Linked DNA regions of Elephas maximus indicus. The protein of the gene in region 2 interacts with the protein of the main gene of each other region in a pairwise test. Links are inferred from orthologs where the notes say so. Each region holds a gene or a part of one and is shown on either strand. Other genes may lie near its edges.

What was found.
Region 1: the proteins of CPSF7 (region 2) and SNRNP25 interact in binary tests that used the Homo sapiens proteins (3 or more experiments, as listed by UniProt). The two-hybrid records come from large-scale screens. The link is inferred for Elephas maximus indicus from reciprocal best matches to the Homo sapiens genes CPSF7 and SNRNP25.

The regions. Positions count from the first base shown.
Region 1 is NC_064830.1:57,376,164-57,379,608, reverse strand, and holds SNRNP25 (U11/U12 small nuclear ribonucleoprotein 25 kDa protein), read right to left. Parts: upstream 2,430-3,445; 5' UTR 2,388-2,429; coding exon 2,346-2,387; intron 1,923-2,345; coding exon 1,832-1,922; intron 1,689-1,831; coding exon 1,583-1,688; intron 1,576-1,582; exon of another isoform or gene 1,483-1,575; coding exon of another isoform or gene 1,342-1,482; intron 1,096-1,341; coding exon 1,021-1,095; intron 605-1,020; coding exon 547-604; 3' UTR 513-546; downstream 1-512. Other genes in the region: RHBDF1 (inactive rhomboid protein 1), read left to right, coding at 1,342-1,482; POLR3K (DNA-directed RNA polymerase III subunit RPC10), read left to right, coding at 2,833-2,943.
Region 2 is NC_064825.1:124,495,994-124,499,902, forward strand, and holds the start of CPSF7 (cleavage and polyadenylation specificity factor subunit 7), read right to left. Parts: upstream 2,757-3,909; 5' UTR 2,714-2,756; coding exon of another isoform or gene 2,529-2,713; exon of another isoform or gene 2,469-2,528; coding exon of another isoform or gene 2,103-2,468; intron 2,068-2,102; 5' UTR 2,013-2,067; coding exon 1,959-2,012; intron 1,618-1,958; exon of another isoform or gene 628-1,617; coding exon of another isoform or gene 560-627; intron 1-559. Other genes in the region: TMEM216 (transmembrane protein 216), read left to right, coding at 560-627; proline-rich protein HaeIII subfamily 1-like, read left to right, coding at 2,103-2,468, 2,529-2,713, 2,757-2,901; SDHAF2 (succinate dehydrogenase assembly factor 2, mitochondrial), read left to right, coding at 2,909-2,944, 3,740-3,909.

The DNA.
Region 1 (3,445 bases), on a different chromosome or scaffold from region 2:
CCTCTGGTCCAGCCCATATCTGTGTTACACACATTCTACCCTGGTCCCACAAACAGAAACAAAGACAGCTGCTCTGCTTGTCCCCCTTGCTGTACAGATCACGGCATGAGCAGTTTGCCATCTGGGGAACCATGCAGCCACAGGGCACAGGTGGTCACCCTGGACCTCAGGGCCCATGTGTTCCAACCCTGCTCCCTTTCTCCACCTCCCTATGGGGCAGCATTTGTACCTCCTGGCGGGGGTACTCTGGCTTTTTGACTTTCAAACTAAAAAGCAAACATTTATTTTGTATATGAGGCTGTCCTGTGGGATCCACATGTAGTCAGGTTTGGGCCTCAGGAGGGCTTCAGATCAAGTAAATGGAAGAGAAATGAGGACCTGACAGTCATGGAGCTCACATTGTTGGTTCCAGATGGGGGAGGAAGGAGGAGGCAGAGCACAACTGGGGTGAGGCTGCAACCTGCCTTTCTGTGAAGGAGACAGTGGCCAAGGGTAATGTCCTGAGGAGAAGAGTTTGTCCCCCACACCTCTGTCCTTGCTGGAGGCTCACTTTTGTCTCAGCTTTTTGATAAAGGAGACCTCATCCCGATTCCGGATGCCGTAACTGAAAGAGAAAGAAAGGTCGGATGTGTCTGATGGGCAGAAAGATACACCAGTGACTCCTACCTGGGGCCTGTGAAAAAGAAGGGAAAGAAAGGGGAGAAGAGGGGGTGGTGCCAGGGAGAAGGAGGCAGAGCGAGGAAGCGGCTCATGCTGTTCAGTGGGTGGCCCTTCCCCTCTACATGCTTACATTTCCCTCCATCTGACCTGTGCACATCCACAGGACCCTGATGTTCTCACAGTGGTGAGAGCCAGCCAGGACTGCTGTAGCCAACTCCTCTGCCTGCCCTTTTAGTGGGGATGGCTGAGATCCGGCACATAGGTGTTTTTGGGAAGCCCCTTCCTTTACGAGAGTACAGGGACTAGAGGCAGACAAGGACCAGACACCCCTCAGCAGCTCAAGATGTGGCCAGGACTTACTCTCGGAGCTTCTTCCTGTCTTCTGTGAGCTTTTCTCCCACAAAGGTCAGATAATAGGTCCTCCACACGTAGGACCTGCAAGAGGGAGACTCAGGAAACAAGGAGTTCTCTTCCTGCATGATGTGCACACCAGGCCTGAAGGAGCTACAAGGGGCACTGGTCCCAAAGGGCTGCATAGGGGTCGAACACCCTTGGCAGAAATGCACTGGTGCAGAGTAGGGGAGAGAGAGAGAGAGAGAGAGAGAGAGGGAGGGAGGGAGGGAGAGAGGGAGGGAGGGAGGGAGGGGTGGGCCCTGACCGAGCAGTGCTGTCTGTAACCAGGGAGACCATTTCATGTCACACTGGAAATGCCTAAAGGTGCCCCCAAGTGAAGAGTCAAGCAGCGGAGGCGGGACAACACAGATGAGCATGTTTAGAAAGGAGGCAGTGGCAGGAATCCATGGAAGACCTGTCTCTGCCTGAAAGAGCTCGAGACAGGGCACTCACCCCTCAGTCATGGCAGAGGACCAGAGAGCACAGGTCCAGCACGTGTGCATGCTGGCTTGGGAATTGCTCCACTCACCAGCTGATGTGCTGAATACCCCCTTCACGCTCCTGCCGCAGCTGCACATATCTTTGGATGGCCTTCTTCAGGTCCAGGACTGTGGCGTTCTGCACGACGACCACAGCTGCAGCCAGGGATACAAATGGGAGAAGACCTCAGGTCAGTGGGTACCACAGGCCAACCTCGGGGCAGGGCAGGTTCGTGGTGGCCTTGATGTCTCTGGCAGCCCTGAGAAAGCACAGTGGCAGGGAGGAGGGCATCACTTACGCATGACCTCTCCGTCCATCTTGCACACACAGACAGTCATGGCCTGGCCATACTCCAGTGCTATCTGGGAGTTGACCTCTTCCAAAGTAACCTGGAAAAGACAAAAGTGGGGTGCTCTTCTCATCATCCCAAATGACAATGAACAAAACAAGTTGACAGAGGCCAAAAAGGGGTGTCCATATTTTACGACAAGCAAGTAGAGGAAAGGATCCTTGCTTATATTAGGGCTCGCAGTTCTTCAGCACCCCGATCTCGAATTTCACCCATACTTTTCAAGTTTAAGGATCAAAGTGGACAGAGGCTCCAGTAAAAGAAGGGCACAGAAACAGGGTCGCTATGAGTCGGAACCGACTCGACGGCACCTAACAACAACAGAAATAGGCAGGAAAATGCGCCCTCCGAGGACCAGCCCTGTGCTTCCTCCAGCTCAGGGGCTGCAATATCCACACGACCTCGGGGTCCGCTCCCCGCCGCTCCTGCCCCGGCCTCGCTGGGAAAGACCCCGGCTGCGCACCTGGATCGGCAGATCGCAGAGCAGGGGGTCCTGCACCACCATGGCGAGACCCTCCTGGAACACGTCCACCACCTCCGAGTGCGGGAGCGCCTCGTCGTCGTCCTCGTCGACCTCCGACGCCTCGGGACGCGCCTCAGCCTCAGCCCCCTCCAGGGCTGCGTCCGCCGTGGGTCTCTCGCCCCGGCCAGTCGGCGAGAGGAAGACGAATTGCGTGCACAAAAGGACTGTGGACCGCAGAGCAAGCCTGGACAGCCATTGGTGCGCTTGGGGGCGGGGCGGGCCACCTTGACCAATGAGAAGTGCAAGACCGTCTGCTGCTGGGCACGCTGGGAGCGCGAGGCCAGCGTGCCTATTGGTGGCCTGAGGAGTGCCTTGCCTGGGCCAATGAGAGCTCGAGGCCGGGCGAGCGCCGGCGCCCAGCGGACGCGGAGGTTGCCGGGAATCAGGATGCTGCAGGGGCTGGCGGAATCGGGCTGATTCGCCGGCTATGCTGCTTTTCTGCCCGGGCTGCGGAAACGGGCTGATTGTGGAGGAGGGGCAGCGCTGCCACCGCTTCGCTTGCAATACCTGCCCTTACGTGCACAACATCACCCGCAAGGTGGGTCCCACCCTCACCCGCTATCCGCTCATGCCCATGTCGGCTCTGCCTTTGAGACGATCGGAGCCAGCCTCTAATCCCGTAGAACAGTCCCGGGGTTATCGCAGAAAAATGCTGGCTAGGCTCCCTGCGCAGTGTGCTCTTCACTGAGCCGAGTCAAGTCCCAGCAGTCCGTGCTCAGAAACCTCCAGTGGTTCCCGGCCGGCTGGGAGTAAAAGCAGTTCTTACAGGGCACCCCCAGGCTCTAGCCCTGACCCCGCCCGCCTGCTTCTCGGATTTCGCCTCCTCACGTCCTTCTCCCTCTCGCTCTTTTTCCCTAACAGCACCGGCCACTGCGGTATCTCCCGTCATGCTCCGGCGCTGCTACCTGCAGGGCCTTTGCATAGGTTCTTCAGCTGGGCGCACTTTTGCTCTGGATCCACGTGACTTGGTGGTCCCGTCTTTACTTAAATGATTACACTAAAGTTACAGCCCTCTCAATTTTATTCTCCTACCCGGTTTT
Region 2 (3,909 bases):
AACAGAAAGCTGTCATCAAAAAGTGTAATTGATGGCTAATGGTGATGGTTGCACAACACGAAAATAACTGCCACTGAATCGAACATGTAAAAAAAAGGTGAAATGGCACATTTTATGTATAGTTTTGCAATAAAAAAATAGAAAAATGTATAATGGGTAAAGTTGTGTAATGCACAGAGGTGATTACACTATTCTCTTGACTTTTGTGTATGTTTTAGAATCTCCATGTTAAAAAACCACAATGCATTAAAAAAAAAATTTAATGTAAACTTATATTAAATGAAAAAATAAAACCAAAAGCCAAACCTGTTGCTCTCAAGTTGATTACAACTCATAGCGACCCTACGGGACAGAACAGAACTGCCCCACAGGGCTTCGAAAGAGTAGCTGGTGGATTCAAGCTGCCAATCTTTCAGTTAGCAGCTAAGCTCTTAACCACCTTGCCACCAGGGCCCCAACTGAAAAAAATAGCATATATCAACTTGGCTGCCTCACTTCAAAGACAGGGCCTAACCAGGGCACTTGCCTCCTCTAATCCATTCTTTTAATCTCTTTCTAGGTTCTTATATGCACCCACTGGAAGACGACAATGGGAAGAATCAGCTCTCCCAAGTAGAATGGTGCTGAAAACAATCCAGGCAATATAGTAGTTAAGTTTTAAACACAAACTTTGGAGCATTCTTGAGATCTGGCCTCAAGATTTCAGAACTGAACTGAATATACGATTATCGTTTCAAGAGGGAGAAATCTTTTGCATAATGTTCTTCCGTATAAAAACACTGAAACCAAGAAACCAATTTAGGGTATATGAGCAAGTCTACACCTGTTTTTTAACTGGTGTGTTCAACAGCTTTCCCCCCTTCCCCTCCTTGAAACGATAAGGTTAATCAATAAAATTTGTTACACCGAAATGCCTACAGTTTTCCCAAGACCAGGGTCAAGCTACTTGTAGAAAGAAGAAAAATGCAGAACAACTGGAACTGAGATGAAATTAAATGTTAAAATATCTGTTTTATACTGTGCTTTTGCACCAGTCTGTGGGGGATTGGAGACTACACTTTTCTCCAGATGCAGTTCGAGAAAATTGCAATAAAACAGATATCAACATTGTCCTCATAAGATTACAGCCAATACAACCCCAATTTTTAAATGTGGTTAGTCTCTGAGAAGATTCACAGCCAACTGTGGCTTTCTGAGGGAGCATGTTCCACAGGTTGATCCACCATTCAATTAAGCTTGATCTTTATTTGCTCTTAAATCAAAGTTTTTAAAGTTAAGTCTAGAGGTTCAGATCAACATAAAGCAGAGCGCTGAGTAGTAGTCTTGAAGGTCTCCACAAGGGAGAAAACTTTAGACCTGTGTAAGGAAAAATACAAATTGAAAATAAGAGATTTTAATTCCCCTTGTGGAAAATTAGGAAAGAGGCTTCTCCCATTCTTTCAGAATTCACTTCAAATAAACTTGTAAAGGCAAAATCTTTGTTTTTCTGAAACGTTTGTGAACGAAGGATATTTCCTTAAGGACCTGGGAACTATCTTTTTGAAATGTATTCATCAAGAAAATGTACACCCCTACCTCGCAGTTTCCTGGAAGGAGATTAGCATAATTTTAGGTATCTTGCCGCAGAGATATTATAAAGCCAGTAATTTTGTTTTAAACATGAATGTAATGAGTTATATCCATTCAGCTACACAAAAGATTTCTTTATGCCTCGGCATCACATTCTGGTTTAACACTTATTCAACAATCAAACTTTTCTTTCTCTTCTATTTTTGTGGAGAAGTTTTCTGGATTGGGAGTAGATTTCATTTTTAGTAACTTTTTCCCAACACCAGATAGAGGAATATTCAGGCCTAGCAAGTCCCCAAGGACTGCCACTGCTTCGAACCTCCGCAAGTTTGCTGGAAGTGACTCCTAAAATGATGAGAACAATCACAATGTTCCTGATACCCCCTCACCTGGTTGAACTCTTCGTCCGCGTATATATCAATCAAGTCCACTCCTTCTGACATGGCTCCGGCAGGAAGATCTCGAGCCCGGAGAACGGAGGAAGTAAGAAAGATGCCACTGCGGTATCCAGAAAAGGGCAGAAATTAGAAGGCATGAGAGTCCCGGGATGGGAGGGCAGTGGTTGCCAACCTCCCGTCTCCAGAGACGCAGCATCCCAGCAGCCTGAGCTCGGCCCCACCCGCCCCGCCCCCGGCCTCGCGCCGCCCCCGCTCGCCCAGGCCGCCGGGGCTAGCCGCTCATCACCCTCGGACCCGAGCCGGGTTAGGCCGCGCCGGGGCCGCAGCAGCCTGGGGCTGGACGGGAAGTCCAGGCCTCGGCTCCTTAGAGGCCCTTGGACCGCGCTGCGAAGAACCGCCGCGGCGAAGCGCGCAGCCCCCGCCCGCTGCACCTGCCTAGGCCCGGGTCGGCCCCAGCGGGCCCGGCGCCGCCGCCCGGATCCGCACAGCCTCCAGCCTCCGGCTCCCCACCCGGGCCCGTCCTCGCCCTCCGGCTAGGCCCGCCCCACTGCCTCCCCACAGAGCCGGCCCGGCGCCCGCGGCCTCCTCCCGCAGAGCCCCGCGTCTTCCTCAGGCCGCCGGTTCCGGCCTCCGCAGGCTCCACCGACCCCCACCCCGCCTCGGCGTCGGCCCCGACCCCTCTTCCGGCCCAGCCGGCCCCCGGCCGCGCGCCCCCGTTACCGGGAATATGGCGGCGGCGTCGGCGAGTCCGGACTAGGCCCGAAGCGCGCGAACCTCTCTCGGCCTCAGGTCCCGCCCCCCCCCCACCGGCGCCGTCACTTCCGTCGTACGCAGGGACGCGTCTTCCGGCTCGGACCGGGAGCCGGAGTCCACGGGTTCGGTAGCCCCGGGGTTCCCGGAAGTAACCCGGCCGCAGACTTCCGGTGCGGGCTAGGCGAGATATGGCAGTGACCACCGTGTTACCGGCTCTGGCGCGGGTGAGAAGAGCGGAGGTCCTCGGGCTCCGGGCGGGCGGCAGCGGTGGCTGAGTCCTGTCCTTCTCCGCAGTCACGGCGACCGCAGGGAGGGCCCAGCAGCCCGTTAGCCAGGCCAAGGGCCGACCCAAGGGAAGAGCGATCCTGCAGTTTAGGAGATTGAGGTTACTTCCACCCTTTCGTGAGTCCACCGTGTGCTTTTCCCATAATATCCTTGACCGATTGGTCATCGTGCGAGACCCAGTTCAGATGTCATTTAGTTCCCAAGCAGAGTCAGCCCGACCGCCTCAGGGCGCTGCTTCTCCCTGTACTTAAAGTCTTCTGTAATGTCTATTATGATTTCACATCGTGTCTTGATAGTTTTGTGCCCATCTGTCCATTGGGAGCTTTTGGAGGATTAGACAGCCTTTAGAGGATCAGGGACCATGTCATCTCTGGATCTCTGTATCCTCAGTGTTTAACACAGTCAGGTGGCTGGAATAAAAAAAAAACCATAAAACCAAAACACGTGTTAAGGTCCAGTGGATTCCAACTCATAGTCACCTACAGGACAGGGTAGAACTGCCCCATGGGGTTTCCAAGGCTGTAAATTTTTACAGAAGCAGATTGCCATGTCTTTCTCCCTCCTAGCGGCTCGTCGGTTCGAACCAAGACCTTTTGGTTTGCAGCTGAGCACTTAACCGCAGTGCCACCAGGGCTCTGAACTCCATTCGATGGCAGTAGGTTTGGTTTGGAATGCACTTAGAATATGGTAAGTGTTGAGTGAATAGTAGTGACGGTAGCCCTTTTTTGTTTCAGGTGCTTGCTCTGTCAAGACGCAACCTAGCATCTCCTTTGCTCAGCATGACATCATTGAGACGCTTTTACAGAGGTGATAGCACAACAGATTCCCAAAAATACTTGATTGAAATCCCTTTGCCTCCATGGCAGGAGAGAACTGATGAATCTATGGAAACCAAAAGAGCCCG